Linked DNA regions of Arabidopsis thaliana. The protein of the gene in region 2 purifies or fractionates together with the protein of the main gene of each other region. This does not show direct contact. Each region holds a gene or a part of one and is shown on either strand. Other genes may lie near its edges.

What was found.
Region 1: the proteins of ROS4 (region 2) and AT3G11770 purify together in Arabidopsis thaliana (affinity purification with mass spectrometry, with the first as the bait; one study listed by BioGRID). This does not show direct contact.
Region 3: the proteins of ROS4 (region 2) and MBD6 purify together in Arabidopsis thaliana (affinity purification with mass spectrometry, with the first as the bait; one study listed by BioGRID). This does not show direct contact.

Annotation. Positions count from the first base shown.
Region 1 is NC_003074.8:3,720,778-3,724,655, forward strand, and holds AT3G11770 (Polynucleotidyl transferase, ribonuclease H-like superfamily protein), read right to left. Parts: upstream 1,965-3,878; 5' UTR 1,818-1,964; intron 1,331-1,817; 5' UTR 1,316-1,330; coding exon 713-1,315; 3' UTR 519-712; downstream 1-518. Other genes in the region: AT3G11760 (structural maintenance of chromosomes flexible hinge domain protein), read left to right, coding at 1-346; AT3G11773 (Thioredoxin superfamily protein), read right to left, coding at 2,212-2,553, 2,622-2,882; AT3G11780 (MD-2-related lipid recognition domain-containing protein / ML domain-containing protein), read right to left, coding at 3,549-3,656, 3,817-3,870. UniProt on the Arabidopsis thaliana protein: 3'-to-5' exoribonuclease (RNase) specifically targeting single-stranded RNAs. Triggers miRNA accumulation in RNA-induced silencing complex (RISC), composed of miRNAs and AGO proteins, by degrading uridylated cleavage fragments.
Region 2 is NC_003074.8:5,039,511-5,047,365, reverse strand, and holds ROS4 (Acyl-CoA N-acyltransferase with RING/FYVE/PHD-type zinc finger protein), read left to right. Parts: upstream 1-1,840; 5' UTR 1,841-2,037; coding exon of another isoform or gene 2,038-2,256; intron 2,257-2,343; exon of another isoform or gene 2,344-2,413; intron 2,414-2,491; 5' UTR 2,492-2,554; coding exon 2,555-4,822; intron 4,823-5,048; coding exon 5,049-5,166; intron 5,167-5,483; coding exon 5,484-5,566; intron 5,567-5,750; coding exon 5,751-5,992; intron 5,993-6,115; coding exon 6,116-6,202; coding exon of another isoform or gene 6,203-6,212; exon of another isoform or gene 6,213-6,396; coding exon 6,397-6,496; intron 6,497-6,699; coding exon 6,700-6,901; coding exon of another isoform or gene 6,902-6,948; exon of another isoform or gene 6,949-6,965; coding exon 6,966-7,435; 3' UTR 7,436-7,554; downstream 7,555-7,855. Other genes in the region: AT3G14981 (uncharacterized protein), read right to left, coding at 2,038-2,256; AT3G14970 (RING/U-box superfamily protein), read left to right, coding at 7,633-7,855. UniProt on the Arabidopsis thaliana protein: Histone H3 acetyltransferase that binds methylated DNA at chromatin sites lacking histone H3K4 di- or trimethylation and catalyzes H3K18 and H3K23 acetylation. Prevents the transcriptional silencing of transgenes and of some endogenous genes.
Region 3 is NC_003076.8:23,950,209-23,954,225, reverse strand, and holds MBD6 (methyl-CPG-binding domain 6), read right to left. Parts: upstream 2,095-4,017; 5' UTR 1,906-2,094; coding exon 1,597-1,905; intron 1,188-1,596; coding exon 1,065-1,187; intron 987-1,064; coding exon 741-986; 3' UTR 519-740; downstream 1-518. Other genes in the region: ACT4 (actin 4), read right to left, coding at 2,640-2,705, 2,811-3,424, 3,573-3,966. UniProt on the Arabidopsis thaliana protein: Transcriptional regulator that binds CpG, CpNpN and CpNpG (N is A, T, or C) islands in promoters regardless the DNA methylation status. Plays probably a role in gene silencing. May associate with histone deacetylase proteins (HDAC).

The DNA of each region.
Region 1 (3,878 bases), 1.3 Mb from region 2:
CTTTGTCCTCAAAGTTGAAAAAGAAGCTTACTATATCATTGACACACTTGGAGAAAGGCTTTACGAGGGTTGTGATCAAGCTTACGTTTTGAAATTCGACCATAAAACCGTCATCCACAAGATTCTTCACACAGAGGAAGCAGGATCCGAATCAGAACCTGAATCAGAGATTTTGAGCAGAGGGAAGGAGTCATGTAAAGAGTATATTAAGAATTTCTTGGCGGCCATACCAATTAGGGAGTTGCAAGAGGATATCAAGAAAGGATTAGCCTCAACCGCGCCTGTTCATCACCGTTTACAGATCGAGTTTCATTACACCACAAACGCAGAGATTACCAGTCTATAAAAGCCTAGGCAGAGTTGCTAACGTTTTGTTGAGTTTCTTGTAAGTTTTGTAACTAACTTGTGAATGTGATTTAGAGTTAAACCAGTTTGTATCTAACTATCCAAGGAATTTACATTTTTGCTCGTTCTATTTCGCTGTCTCTTTTTGGTTCATTATGTTTTTACAGCTTAAAATTTTGGCATTGTACCATAATCTCAAAATCTTCAGACAAAAAGACAAGGCCGGGCATGTTTTATTCAGACAGTATTGTTCACTCATCACAATACACAACATGAATCAATCAAGCGCAATCAAGCGCAATCTCACAAATCCATTTGATCAAGAAGGTTAACATAAGAGTTACATGAAGAACATTGCCACGAAAAATCACTGCTGCAATTGATCGTAGACATTGAAAATAAGCCAACCTTCAATGGCAGCAGCTTCAAGACGATCATTAGAGCTGGCTTCATCCCACTTGGACTGAATAGAATCAAGCCTACTCATGTCATACCAAAGAATCTTGTGAGCTAATTCTCTGGTTCCAAGGAACTCAACAATTGGAGTACCTCGGGCTTTCGCAGCTAGTTTCCCAATCTCCAACGAGCTTCGGATCACAATACCGTGGTTTTCTTTAAGCAAAGCGAGGTCTTCTTGAATCTGGACACCGACAAATGTGACAAATTTGGAAGCAAAGAAGCGATAAAGATCCTTGAGATTATCACAGAACGGGTTCGGCAGGCGGAGGAAGAGACAGAAGTTTTTAGTGCTAAACTTCACTGAGCATAGACGCCATTCGGACTTTGTGCTAACTGATTTGACATCCCAATACACATCAAAGACAATGGACCGGTTTCCATTCCAGACGGAATCTTCAAGGATCTTGGAAAGGTAAGGAGAGATATCGGTTGTTGATTCAACATCAATGGCTTTGGTCTGGACCCAAGAATTATCAACCATCATAAACCCTTGCCCATCGAATGAGGCCATTGTGGTCTGAAATCACTGGAAACATATTCACATTACACATTAGACACAACATCATATAGATCCATTAGCTTGGAGAGACACTCAGAATCAATACAATTCTAATAATCAGTGATCTGTTTTTGTTGTGAATGTGCTCAGCGATGAATCGAATGAAAAACTGATAAAGCAGCAAAGATTTTCAATATGTTTTCCAATTCACAAAGACATTGAAATATCGATTTTGAGTGTGTAGCAGCAATAGAATGACCGATTCAAGAAATGTGTAGACGCATTCAGAGCTAATTGGGTTTTTTGCCAGAACAACAAATTTACTCTAATCAGCGTTTGGGTTCTATGAACACAATACAAAGGTACGATTTTTATAAAGTGTGGATTAGACAGAGGAAAGTCCCCAAATAAGTTCATCGGATGGAACATGCTTTTGTTGATTTGGATTGAAGATTTATATATAAACATGAGAAAAATCTTTCAATCCAAAAAGACAGAAAAGAGGAACACGAACCTTGAGATTTCGGTGCGAGAAGGCTGATCTAGTAAACGGAGTCGGAAGAGAGAAAGACTGTTTCTGGGTTTGTTGTCGGAAGAAGAAGGAAAAGTACGCAAGTGAAAGTACGGTCCTGCCCATTGAAGGAATGACACGTGTCTTTACCTACGGGTATCGCACGTGCGAATGTCGCCATACGTGTTCCGTAGTAGAAGGATTTTAGAAGAGTCAATAGAACATTATTTTTTTCTTCACTTTGGTTGATTTTGGTTTAACATTTTGGAAAACTCACTCAACTCCTTGAGTATTGTTTTCGAAAATTTTCCTTGTATATTCATAGCATTTTGTTTCATATAAAACAATTAGTTATAGTCATATAAATAAATTGTTATTAAGCACTTGGAATCTTGGATTAAGTACAAAGAGCACATTTCACAAGACCATTCTCATTACACTCTATGCATCTCTTCCAGGTTTCGTGCTCTGCAACAACTCTCGACCTCCCATTGCATTTCGAACATATCAAAAATCTTTCGTTCTCGCACATCTCACACTGCCGCGACTTAGCTGATGAAAACACTTCTAGAAGCTTCTTGAGCTTCTCGTTTTCGTTAAGAGACACCACCTCGTCTGCTCCACCAATGTACTTACACTTTATGAAGAGCCTAGGAGGTGTAACTTGCTCCCCAAGCAATCTCCACATCTCTTCTTTGTACTCACAATCCATTGAAACATCTCTTTCTCGGAATGATGCCTTATGATTCTCTAGCAAGAATCTCACTCTTCTGCAATCTTCGAAAGTCTTTCTCACTCCTCGTAGACTTGTTGTGAAGAAGCAACAGAATCTTGCCCACCAGCTACACATTTCTCTTCAAAAGCCCACAAAAGCTCATCAAGATTCTGTTGAAGTCGTTTATCCTCAGAAACCTCAATTGTCGTTGGCGTAAGACACTCTTTCTCATCTATTTGATGAAAGATTGTGTGATCAAGATTGCTTTTGTGGAGAGCTATCGCCTGCTTCAAGTTCCCAAGAGATGTAATAAGCTTAAGTTTCTTCACCATTCTCTCCTTCATATCCATCATTGCTTCAACCTTCAACCTTTGATAAGAAGTTGTGAAAGAGGAGAGGCAAAAACCTAATCAAGATTGACAAACATGAGACTGGATAAGAGAAAAACGAAATGAGTACTCAACTGAACAAAAAAGCTACTTTGTGGGTTAGCTTTTCAAAAGTTTCTCCTTTGACGGGTCATTGTAGTACTAAAGAAGATAACCGATAAGCTAAATTAGGGTAACAAAAAACATTGAATTTACCCAACTTTAGCCCAACTTTGTCCAAATACATAGCAAAAGGGGAGGAATGTCCCTTTTAACATGTTGGTATATTGAAGCTATGAAAAAATTCATCTTTTCTGATAAGTCATTAATGGTTTACGTTTGGTTGAATGATGATGTATGTCACGTCTTTATAATTCCATGAACGTGGATGTAATGATGTACTATTGGTTAAAGTAGGCTCAGCTTTAAGGTTGCAACTAGAACTAACCACAGCTCTATAAAACCTAATCAATAATTCATTACTTTGTTTTTTCTATAAATGGGGGGATTCATGAATGGTCCAGAATGAGAATTTTCAAAGGGTTTTTGATCAACAATTATGTATAGCAGGAGAGTGTATTTTATACAAAATAAATGAGAGTGGTTCCATGGTATAGAACAAGATGGTGTATCCCGTCGAGCAAATCAGCTCTACATGTCGGCCACGGAGGATCCAAATCCAATATCAAATGAGAACTTGATGCAAGTTAACTCCTTCTTGCGTCCATCAAGCATCTTCATTTTTAGTGAGTATGAACCCTATGAGAAAGAAAAGGATTAGACTGGTCCTTCCTTAGATGCAGAAACACAAAACGAAAGTTTGGTATGACAAACATATAACTATAGAAACCATAACCAGCAAATCTTGACAACAAGAAGGTTAAACTTCTTCACTTTAGCCGCTTAATAGACATAATACTTCCACATGGAACTCATAATATGCTATCGAAACCAAGTTAAACCTCTTCTCAGTCTATTTCA
Region 2 (7,855 bases):
TTTAACCAAAAGAAGATAGACGTGTGCGATGACGTAAGCATAAAGAAAAAGAAACTCGACGATACGTGTCGAACATTCATTGGTGGAACGTGGCGAAAGCTTCTTTTGAGTCTTTCCACGTCATTGTATTGGATAAAATCAGAAAAAGCCACTTTGGTTTCGGTAAACTAAGACGGCGTGAAGTTGGCGAGAAAAAAGTATTACAACAACGACATCACGTCCTGGTTCTTAATTTTGTGGAAGCACGTGTTGTCGTTTTTGATACATGTACTTTGTAGTAGAGTAAACCGGACGAACTTCTGAAGAGATGTTTTGTTAATTTTGTAGCGTTCCAATAATTTATGGGCTTTATATGGGAGTGTTAACCGGTCGAAAAAGTACTCCTACCCTTTCAAATAGCTATTAACGCGAAATTTGAAACTACTAGTTAAACTTAACCAAATATGATCCCATAAATATGATATATATACACGGTAAACTAATTAAGAGACTGTTCAGATGGTTTTTGGATGAATCGGTGTATTCAAATTAACACAAACACACACATTTTTCAAAATGGACAGCCTGAAATCATGATTTTTGTTATGATCTCTAATTTCTAACCCAACATGCAACAAACAATAAATGATCAATACCCATTATCCGGTCCAAAGTGTTTTTAACAAACTTAACGTTTTAGATATAATCCAAGGATGTGTGTCAAAATTCACTTATATTGTAATAGACGAAATTAAACTAGATTAAATCACATGTTTGTGTGTTTTAACCATGTTTGATGGCTTCGTTGGGTCCAACATATTCCATTCACAATTAGGATGAAGAAGAATGTCTCAATACAGAAAGCCAAATATAAAGCAAAACACGTGGCTCATGCATTAGCTTCGCAAGCGAGCCGAATTATTTGTTATTGACTTATGTGGATCAAAATTAGCAAATGAGGTCTACCATCTACCCTTTTAAAAAAGAATCGTTTCTTTTTAACCATAGTTAAACCTTAAAAATGAAAAAAGTATCTAGAATTGATCCCCTCTAAATATTTTTTTTTTTAAAAACAAATACTTTCACATAACACAGTCGTTTTCATCGTACTGGTACATGTACTTTTTGGAATTTTCATATATCAAAATCGAATAAGAAGAAACAAAGATTCAGAGCCGTATTCCTATATATAGTTAATACAAAACATGCAATAACTAATCTGTTCACACAACAAAATAGGTTAAAATACGACTTATGTCCATCATCGCATGCACCTATTTGATAGTACAGTATTTGTTATCGTTAAGACACGTAAAGATTCCCCGCGCAAATTACAAAGCATCCAATCCACTTAACAGATATTGATTATACATATTAAGACAAAACCTGTTACAATCGGTGATGACTGAATTTTAAAGGACAAAAACATAAGCTGAAATGATTTAAAACGACAACAGAAGAACAGTTAGAAACCTGGCAATTAAATATGCTAACCTTTTTTTTCATTTTAGTTTGTCTGTTATTTTTGTCAGAACAGTTTTTGTCTGTGGCGAATTTAGTAAAAAAAAACTTTGTCAAGAACTTAAAACCATAGTCATTAATATTGGCTTATAGTGATACGATCGTCATTAACAGGATTAAGAATTTGATAACAGAAGAAAAAAACGACGAATATTTGGGTTTTAATTTGTGTAATTAAACGAATTTAAGTACTCCATATACTATAACTGCTGGTCCGTTGTTATCAGAGAGGAGACAGAATCTTAAGGTGAAAAATGAAGAATGACTTTTTCAGTATAACGAAGGAAAAATAAAATAAAAACACGAAGATGCCTTTTTGGTGACAGCACACAATTTATAGAAAAGAAAAAAAGAAAAAAAACGAGAAGAGAAAGAAATAGCCAATAATAAGTATACACACACTGTGCACAACAAAGTGATAGAGGCAGATTCAGAGAGGTGAAAAAAAGTTCGTCAGAATTTATCTATCTGATGAATTTTGGTTGAGAGATTTAACACCGAATCAGAGGTGGGTTTCTTCCACAATTATAGAAAAAGCTAAAAAGATAGACAAATTGTTGTTCTTTCTGTGTGTGAGATAGAGATCAAGGAGAGAGAGTGTGTGAGTGCAGAGAACGTGAAATGGAATGAAAATGCGTTTCCCACTTGCGGTTGGAGAGGATAAGGGCGACGAAATGAGTCTATTTCAGTGAGAAGAAGCCATTTCTCCGATTTCACAGCTCTGATTTCATTCTGCATGCTGGTAATGTCCTGCATTTCCCAATTTTTGAGCTTTCTTTTTGGATGTAATTAGTCATTATAACATCTCAATTTCATGAAATCTGGTCTATCGTTTTGCTCTAGGCTTCAAAGTTTTGGCCTTTCTAGAAGGATCTCTGATTTTATCTTGTTTTGAATCCGCTTCCGCTTATGGGTATGTGTTTTGGATTAGGATGTCGAGTTCCAAACTTTTGGGTTCTGTGAGTTTATTCATTACTTTATATAATTGCAGGTATCTATCTACAACCTTCCTTTTAAGTTAAGGTGAAGTGGAATATGCAGTTAGTTTGTGGAGATGCTTCCCGGAGCTGAGATTGAGATGTTAGGAGGTGACTGCTTTGAAGGGTCATATGAGGATCATCAGATATTCAGAGAAGTTTTCTTTGGAAGTGATCCTGGAAATACTACTAAAAGATGTCTCGTTACTGGAGCCATTAACTTCGAATGTGATTCCAGTAAGAATGTCAATTCCTCTCTGAGTTCCAACTCTGTGGTAACTAGTGGATATGCATGTCCACAAGGTTTTGAGGCATCTGCTTCAAGAGATGGTTCAGATTTTAACACTAAAGCTAAGAGAGTGAAGCTTTCAGGTAATAAGCATTTGGATGCAAGGGACGAAAAGGGATCTGCTTTGCATGGTTTTCCAACTTCGGACATAGCTAGAGAGACGATACCTCTCCATTTAGTTGAATCATCTAACAAGGGTGTTTCAACTAGCTCATATTTGTTGAAGCACAGCATAGTAAAGGGAAGAGAAGTTTATCTGGGTGGCATTGTGTCTGGAAAGTGTAAGTCACTAAACTTGGACAAATGCGATGGAAAGGAATTTAAAGCTATTGCCTCTCCTGTTTCTCAGGAGAGCTTCGCAACCAGAATGATCTCTGTAGGTGCTTCTACGCCGCATAGTGAGAAGGCTTGCTTCCCGCTACAGTTGAACAACGGATCTAAAGTATCTCCTAATGAGTTAATTATGTCTAAAACCTGCCTAAAGATTGATCCTAAAGAGGACCCCCGTCCTCTTCTCTACAAGTATGTCTGTAAGGTTCTAACTGCTGCCAGATGGAAAATTGAGAAGCGCGAAAGATCAGCAGGTAGGAAACATGTAGACACATTTTACATATCGCCAGAGGGACGGAAATTTCGTGAATTTGGGTCAGCTTGGAAAGCATTGGGTGGGATCCTATTAGCTGATCGTAAGTTAATGGATACTGGTACTAAGAAATGGACTGGTATTAATGACTTCTGGTCCGATCTCTCTCTTACACTGTTGGACATCGAGGAGAACATGAAAAATTTAAATCTTGCTAACACACGGGCACTTTGGTGGAGTGCCTTAGAGCCTTTTGTGGTTGTTGTCTTCATTTCTAAGCAAGTTGGTTCTTTAAGAAAAGGAAATAAAGTTGAAGTTGCAAGGAATTCAAATCCAGACAAGTTGAAGAAAGAAGATACAATTTGTTTGAACCTGATTTCAGGCTGTCCTGAAAGTGTGCTGACAGTATCTGAAGGCAGTCATCTTGTTCATGACGTGGATGCTAACCAAGAGATACATTCAGATCTTGAGGTGCAAACTAAAATTTCCTCTCAAAAAGTTTCTTCAAGACTAGAGAGGCAGAGCATAATTGGTAAGGAAATCTCTGGGACTCATGAGCAGGAGGCTAGCAAGGGCATTGTAGCTTCAAAATTGATAGCAGAAGACATGCATGAAAGTGTTATGAGAAAGAACTTACACAGAAGATCAAAGAAAATATCCGATATCAAACCAGCTTCCTTGGACCAACATGATTCACTAGATTCTAATTCTCTCAATAGCTTTGAATTCCAGGATAAAGAGATGGGCAACATTCACCTCGTCTCAAAGGGAAGTCGGGATGAAAGGTTGAGGAATGAGAAGATGAATAATTCATGTTGCAATTCAAAGAAAGGAAGAAAGAAAGCTAGGAAGCACTATACTCAAGATGATGACCTTATGGGGTCGACAATAACCAGAAACAAAGGTAAGTTCAGCAGATCAAGCCAGAAAAAGAAAACACAGAAGCCAAAGGCTAGAACAAAGAAAAGAAACAATAGGGGAGGGTGCAGGTTGCTTCCCCGAAGCTCAAGCAATGTGGAAAATCATTTTTTTCAAGGAAATTGGTCTATTTTGGGTCCTAGAACTGTCTTATCATGGTTGATAGCTACCAAAGTAATTTCTAGAGACGAAGTAATCCAGTTACGAGATCCAGATGATGATACTGTGGTAAAAACAGGCCTGGTAACTAAAGATGGAGTGGTTTGTACATGTTGCAACAAGACTGTGTCACTTTCTGAATTCAAGAACCATGCTGGATTTAACCAGAACTGTCCATGTCTGAATCTTTTCATGGGGTCAGGAAAGCCTTTCGCTTCATGTCAGCTGGAAGCTTGGTCTGCTGAGTATAAGGCGCGAAGAAATGGATGGAGATTAGAGAAAGCCTCTGATGATGATCCAAATGATGATTCTTGTGGAGTTTGTGGTGATGGGGGTGAGCTGATCTGCTGTGATAATTGTCCATCTACCTTCCATCAGGCGTGCTTATCAATGCAGGTATTGTCTGACTCATTCCAGGGTATATTTACATTTTAACTATTATTTATCCCGGTAATTAACTCTTTGCAAAACATACACATGGGTGAAACTTCTTGGCTGATTCTGTGATTCTTACTAATTCAACTCTAGTAACTTACACGGCATTAGTATAACTAGGATATTTTACCTTAAATTGGTACCCTCTAAAGAGAGTTGCTGTATTGCTTTTGCTTTTTCTACCCAGGTGCTCCCTGAAGGAAGTTGGTATTGCTCGAGCTGCACATGTTGGATATGCAGCGAGTTGGTTAGTGATAATGCTGAACGCTCTCAGGACTTTAAATGTTCCCAGTGTGCGCATAAATGTAATCATCTTACAGCTCGCAATCTCTTAGAAACTATGATTTATTTCTTTATCACATGAAAGGAAACCCCTGATTTGAATTCTCTTCTATCATGTCTCACTGAGATTTTATCACGATTGATGTCACTGTTCATCAGTAACAGTTGTAGATGGTGGTTTTCTGCCAGGCTCAGCACTTCTCCAATTTTCTTTCTTTAGTAATTGACACTTTGTAAAACTCACTTTTGGAGTTATGCCTCTCGCGACAGTTGGATCCCACATTAGTTATTTTGGTATGAAATCCACTTTGGCTGATGATTGTTACCTTTATGTTATCAGATCATGGAACATGTTTGCAAGGGATAAGTAAACGCAGAAAGCTTTTTCCAGAGACCTACTTTTGTGGTAAAAATTGCGAGAAGGTATTAATCATACCTAGTCACTGTGACTTAAACAACTAATGGGTAGTTTTTAAATTTACATTGAGAATAATAGTATATTTTTCGCTGCTCTTGGGCTCTTTGACATATAAACAAAGAAGATGTTAGCATGTTACAGCTGCTTCACAACTTTCAAGGTTCTCATTAAGTAGCTCGTGTAATGCAGGTGTACAATGGTCTTAGTTCTCGTGTTGGGATCATTAACCCTAATGCTGATGGTCTGTCTTGGTCAATTCTTAAATGTTTTCAAGAAGATGGAATGGTTCATTCTGCCCGAAGGTTGGCGCTGAAGGCTGAATGCAACTCGAAATTAGCTGTTGCCCTATCAATTATGGAGGAAAGCTTTCTGTCTATGGTAGATCCAAGAACTGGTATTGACATGATACCTCATGTGCTATACAACTGGGGGTAACGTCCTTTTGTCATTAGCTTGCACACTTAGATTTCTGTTTGTTACTTCTGTACCTTCAGTTCTGCTCTTCATTTTCATCGCTTTGTCTTACCTTTTTTGAATCTTTGTTGCACTTAAAGGTCAACATTTGCTCGGTTAGACTTTGATGGGTTTTACACAGTGGTTGTGGAAAAGGATGATGTGATGATCTCAGTAGCATCTATCAGGTTAGTATGAAGAAACTCGAATTCATGCTGAAAAAACAGTAATCTCATGGCTATCAAAGTGTTTGGTATGTCTTCTAGAACCTCCAGGCAATGAAACAAAATTTGACACTATCACCAAATGGATGCTTAGAACTATTCTTTCACTTCCATCCACTGGAACGAGTTACATATAAACCCCATTTTACTATATCCAGGGTGCACGGAGTAACTATTGCAGAGATGCCTCTTGTAGCTACGTGCAGCAAATATCGCCGACAGGGCATGTGTAGAATCCTCGTGGCTGCCATTGAAGAGGTACGATATTTAGAATGTAACCATGTGGTTGTTCTTGAAGCTACATCCACATTAATAATGTCTAAACTTAGTACAATGATAGACATACAGCACCGCTCATATGCTGACCTTGATAATCCCTTAGCTCATATGATCTCTCTTCCAGTCTTGTCTTGATCCCTGGGCTATCAATAGATAAAACTATTCATTGGTTTTGGCTGCAGATGCTTATGTCTCTCAAAGTGGAGAAGCTTGTGGTAGCTGCATTGCCGAGTTTAGTGGAAACTTGGACTGAAGGTTTTGGCTTCAAACCCATGGATGATGAAGAGCGTGATGCTCTCAAAAGAATAAACTTGATGGTATTCCCTGGGACAACTCTGCTCAAGAAAACACTATACGAGAGCACAAAACCCAGCACTATGAAAGGTAAAGCCAACTCCTCTCTCCCTCTCTCTCGAACGAACTTCATTTGATTTTTGCTCCTGTACAGGTGTATGTCTTTCTAAAGAACGCAATAACCCATCAAACAAAGAAGCAGATCTAGAGCCAGGTCTAGACAAAGCCGGGTCTCCCATGAGTACCCAAGTTGAGAGCTGTGATCAGATGGTTCCAGCAGGTTCAGATGATGAGCCATCCCCAGGCTTCCCCGTACCACTCGGAGCCGATCAAACAGAACCAACTTCAGAAACAGAGAACCCAAGCCGAGACAGCAATGCCAATGATAGGCCAAATAAAACAACAGTAGTCTCTATAGGAGAAGAAGAAGAAGAAGAATGTTTGCAGAAAGATGTATCAAAGTTATCAGAAGAAGGAAAAGAAACGACAAGGGCTTCTTCTTCCTCTGCAGCTTTAGAAGAAGTTAGTGGTCTAGGACTAGGAGTAGTAAATAATGTTAGCGATGAGATGTTGCTTTGTGTTGATGAACAGCTTGACTCTGATAGCTCTCAGGATTCGGAATAATATTATTAGACTAAAAAACTATGATCGTTTCTTTCTCTATATCCTCTCGTCACTTTTTTTTTTTTGAAAGAAAACCCTACTAAGATAAGGAAACCGCATAAAAGAGGATTCTATATTTTCATTTTCATTTTCAAGTCTTATCAAGCCTCAAAACCCTAAATACCAAATATCAAAACGCCCATTTTTCCGAACAAATCATGGTTTTTGATGCTGTCAATCCAGACCCCGACAGCTTCGTTTACTATTATCCGATCTATAACGATGAAGGCGATTTTGGCAGAACCCAAAACTTGATGTTCAAGTTTCATTTATGTTACAATCTTGCCCCTGAAGTAAATTCAGATGGAGAAGATGAAAATCCTCTCGATCTTGAAACTCTACTCGTTGATCGAACTCACGAGTTTGATAAAGGATTGCTTT
Region 3 (4,017 bases), on a different chromosome or scaffold from region 2:
AAGCTTGGGATACAAGACTAATAAGGAAGCCTCTGGTACACCTAGAAGGTTACAAGACCAAAAATTACTAAATTAGACGATGGGTTGGGAGAGTTCCAATGGCCTTTTTGATAATTTATTGCAGATATTAAATGTGCTACAACCAGTTACATTCGAACCCCACAAATTGTTTGGTTAACAAAATCTAAAATTATGTTTGGGAAAAATATAATTGCGTCTGCCGGGAGTCGAACCCGGGTCTATTGCTTGGAAGGCAATTATCCTAACCGTTGGACTACAGACGCTTCTTGTCTTGTATCAGTGCAGTATTGTTGATGTTTCTTCTTATCCATTAGATTTAGATAACCTGAGCAGGTGAGACATGTCAAGCATTAGTTCTTGAATTACGACACTGGTTTCACAAAGAACAAGATCTTTTCCTAAACACAAAGTAAAAGACTTTGGAACACAGAATAGTTCAGTATCAAAATGTCTAAGAAGAATAGCTTTGTTACTACGACAGTGTCTTCAATTTCATCAGTCAAAAGTCGAATGGTTATCACGTTCCAAAAGCAAACACAAAGATGCATATCCCCTTATCATATTCTTCCAAAAACCGCTACAAAAATTATAGTACACATAACTTGATGATTGATGAATGAAGACTAAACAAGAATTATCCAATTAAGTAACCCTAACATATCTGTGTATCTTACCATAGATGCAACAACCCAAAAATCGCCACCAGGTCATCATAGTCTTCAAGCCGACACTTTACTAGGGTTTCGGCTTGTGATAAAGGTAAACGCAGTGCTCCAATCTCGTCTCACTGAGTCTTGAACCTTGACGTCCCCAATATTAGGTATCCAACCTTCTTCTCCTGCGTTTGCCATAGACCAGCTTACCTTGTCTGGTGGATTCTTAAAATCAAAGTCCAATGGCGGTGGCGGAGGTGGAGGCACTGTAGCGGTTCTGGTGACTCTATTGCTTCCTTGGCCTTCAAAATGCTGCAAATGCAAAATTCAATACACATCACAGGTTTGAAACCAGGGTGAAAGGTTTAATCTTTAAGCATGTAAACTCACGTCTGGATTGAAATATGTATTCTCAGCTTTCTTGGTGCCTCTTTTAGAAGTTCCATGTTCCAAGTAGTACAGCACCTCAGTCCTGGACCGAAACTTACGTCCTGTATTTGGTTCGTAATAGTACTGCAAAACCAGATAAGAAAATGTCACAAGTCTACACATCAATATCTACACCCATATTAGCATCGAGTATAACAACACCAAAACTTCATCTCTTCAATCACAATATATACCAAACCAAACCATCTAAATCCACCTGATAAATCAAAGTAACACTAATCACACTGATAAAGTGTATGATTCAAGTCCCAATACACCATTAACATAATCTAAACAAACTCATTAATGCTTAAGCAGAACCAACCACATCATTTTACTACATCATTACACTTGTCACTACTTTAAAGGCAAGATTTTTAAACCAAAGAGAACAAAACAACAGCAATCAAAGAATCCTCAATTTGTAGTCTTCAAGCAACAACGCAGCTCAAAACTTCATAGAGAAAAGCAGAGTCAAGCTGAGATTCTTTACCTTATCCACCGAACCAGCTGTGGCACCGGAAGTTCGAATCTTATCTTCAACTCTCCAACCAGGAGGCAACCAATTATCTCCAGGCGCCGCACGCTTCCGCGACTTCGATTCCGTCTGATGATTCACCTGATCAGTGCCGTTAGCCATCCCGATGCGTACGCTCTCTCCCGAACCAGAAATTCCGATTCCTCCCTGAATCGGTCGTCGTTTCGCACTACTGTCTAGGGTTCCGTCACCGGCGGAGGAGATGAAGGCTCCGGAGGCGAGAAGTGGATCGGGAGGGAAATCGCCGGCCACAGAATCTGACATACGAATTAGGGATTTGTCTTCACCAATGAGCAATGAGATCGCAGATTTTAACGGCGACGATCTCGAGAAATGGATTCTCCGTCGCAGCTTCTGTTTCTGGGTTTACGATTCGGTTCGGTTAAACCGAGATCGAATAAGAAATTAAAATTTAGTTAACCATCAACAATTCGTTTCTTCTTTTCTTTACCAACAAACATAATAAACACGTTTTATTACTAAATGAAACATTTAAACTCATCTTCTCATCACTAATCCATCAGTTTAACATTTTGTGTTGTGTTTATTGACACTTATTAGACCACATCCATTTAACCGAGTAATCTAAGATTTAGTGAGTTTCGACAATATGCATTTATATGTCACAATTGTTTGTACTAGATCAACATTATGGAGCTTGTTTTGTGTTTGATACGGATGTCTTTGAAGTATATTAGTCACAATTGTTTAACCATCACAAAATCTCTTTTGAGTAACAAATAAATTAAGTTTAAAATAGAAAATATAATAATTGAAATTAGTCGCTTATATATAGTACATTGGGAGTGGAAATTGTTTAAAGAAAAGTATGCTTAGTTGAAAAATTAACATAGAGAGGCTATTCAAAAAAAAAAGGATAAAAGAGAGATTAGAAAATATAATGGAAAAATGTGGCATTTGGTAGTAATCTCAATGTTTTTAACCTTCTGTCTTTTACTTTTACTTCCGTCTTCGTTTGGTGATCTTAGGAACTGTGATTAGAAGCATTTCCTATGCACTATTGAGGGTCCAGATTCATCGTACTCTGCTTTCGCAATCCACATCTGTCAAGTTTTCAAACACATACCAATATTTATATCAAAACAAACTTATGAATGTTATATTATACATGATCAAATAATAATAAAAATGTATATTAATGTGTTCACCTGCTGGAAAGTGCTGAGTGAAGCCAATATAGAGCCACCGATCCATACACTGTACTTCCTCTCCGGTGGAGCCACGACCTTAATCTTCATACTACTTGGAGCCAAAGCCGTAATCTCTTTGCTCATTCTATCACCAATCCCTCCAAACATTGTGGTTCCACCACTTAGCACAATGTTACCATACAAGTCTTTCCTAATATCCACATCACATTTCATGATAGAGTTATATGTGGTTTCATGGATTCCTGGATTTTCCATTCCGATCATTGACGGCTGGAACAGAACTTCCGGACACCGGAACCTCTCTGCTCCAATGGTTATCACTTGTCCATCAGGAAGCTCGAAGCTTTTCTCAACGGACGAGCTTGTTTTGGAAGTCTCTAGCTCTTGCTCGAAGTCTAGAGCAATGTAAGAGAGCTTCTCTTTCATGTCTCTAACAATTTCACGTTCAGCAGTTGTGGTGAAGGAGTATCCACGCTCTGTGAGGATTTTCATGAGGTGGTCCGTGAGGTCACGACCTGCTAGGTCAAGACGTAGGATTGCGTGTGGGAGAGCGTAACCCTCGTAGATTGGTACCGTGTGGCTCACACCATCTCCAGAGTCCAAAACAATACCTAATCAATAATTTGCAAAAGAACCAATTAGGGTTGTCCATAAAAGCATAACCAAATAGTCCTTAAAATAGTTCATATTATTTAAAATCAAGCATGAAAAAAAACTGGTTATAGATTGGATCAACACAAATATAAGTGTGTTACTGACCAGTTGTACGGCCACTGGCATAGAGTGAGAGAACAGCTTGAATGGCAACATACATAGCAGGAGTATTGAATGTCTCAAACATGATCTGAGTCATCTTCTCACGGTTAGCTTTCGGATTGAGAGGAGCTTCGGTCAAGAGAACCGGATGTTCTTCAGGGGCAACACGAAGCTCATTGTAGAAAGTGTGATGCCAAATCTTCTCCATGTCATCCCAATTATTAACAATTCCATGCTCAATTGGGTACTTCAGAGTCAAGATACCACGTTTTGATTGAGCCTCGTCTCCAACATAAGCATCCTTTTGTCCCATCCCTACCATCACACCCGTGTGGCGAGGACGGCCTACAATGCTCGGAAAAACCGCTCTTGGTGCATCGTCACCCGCGAATCCGGCCTAAGCACGGGATATATTTTTGAGTAGTCGTTTATGGCATAGCCTTATATA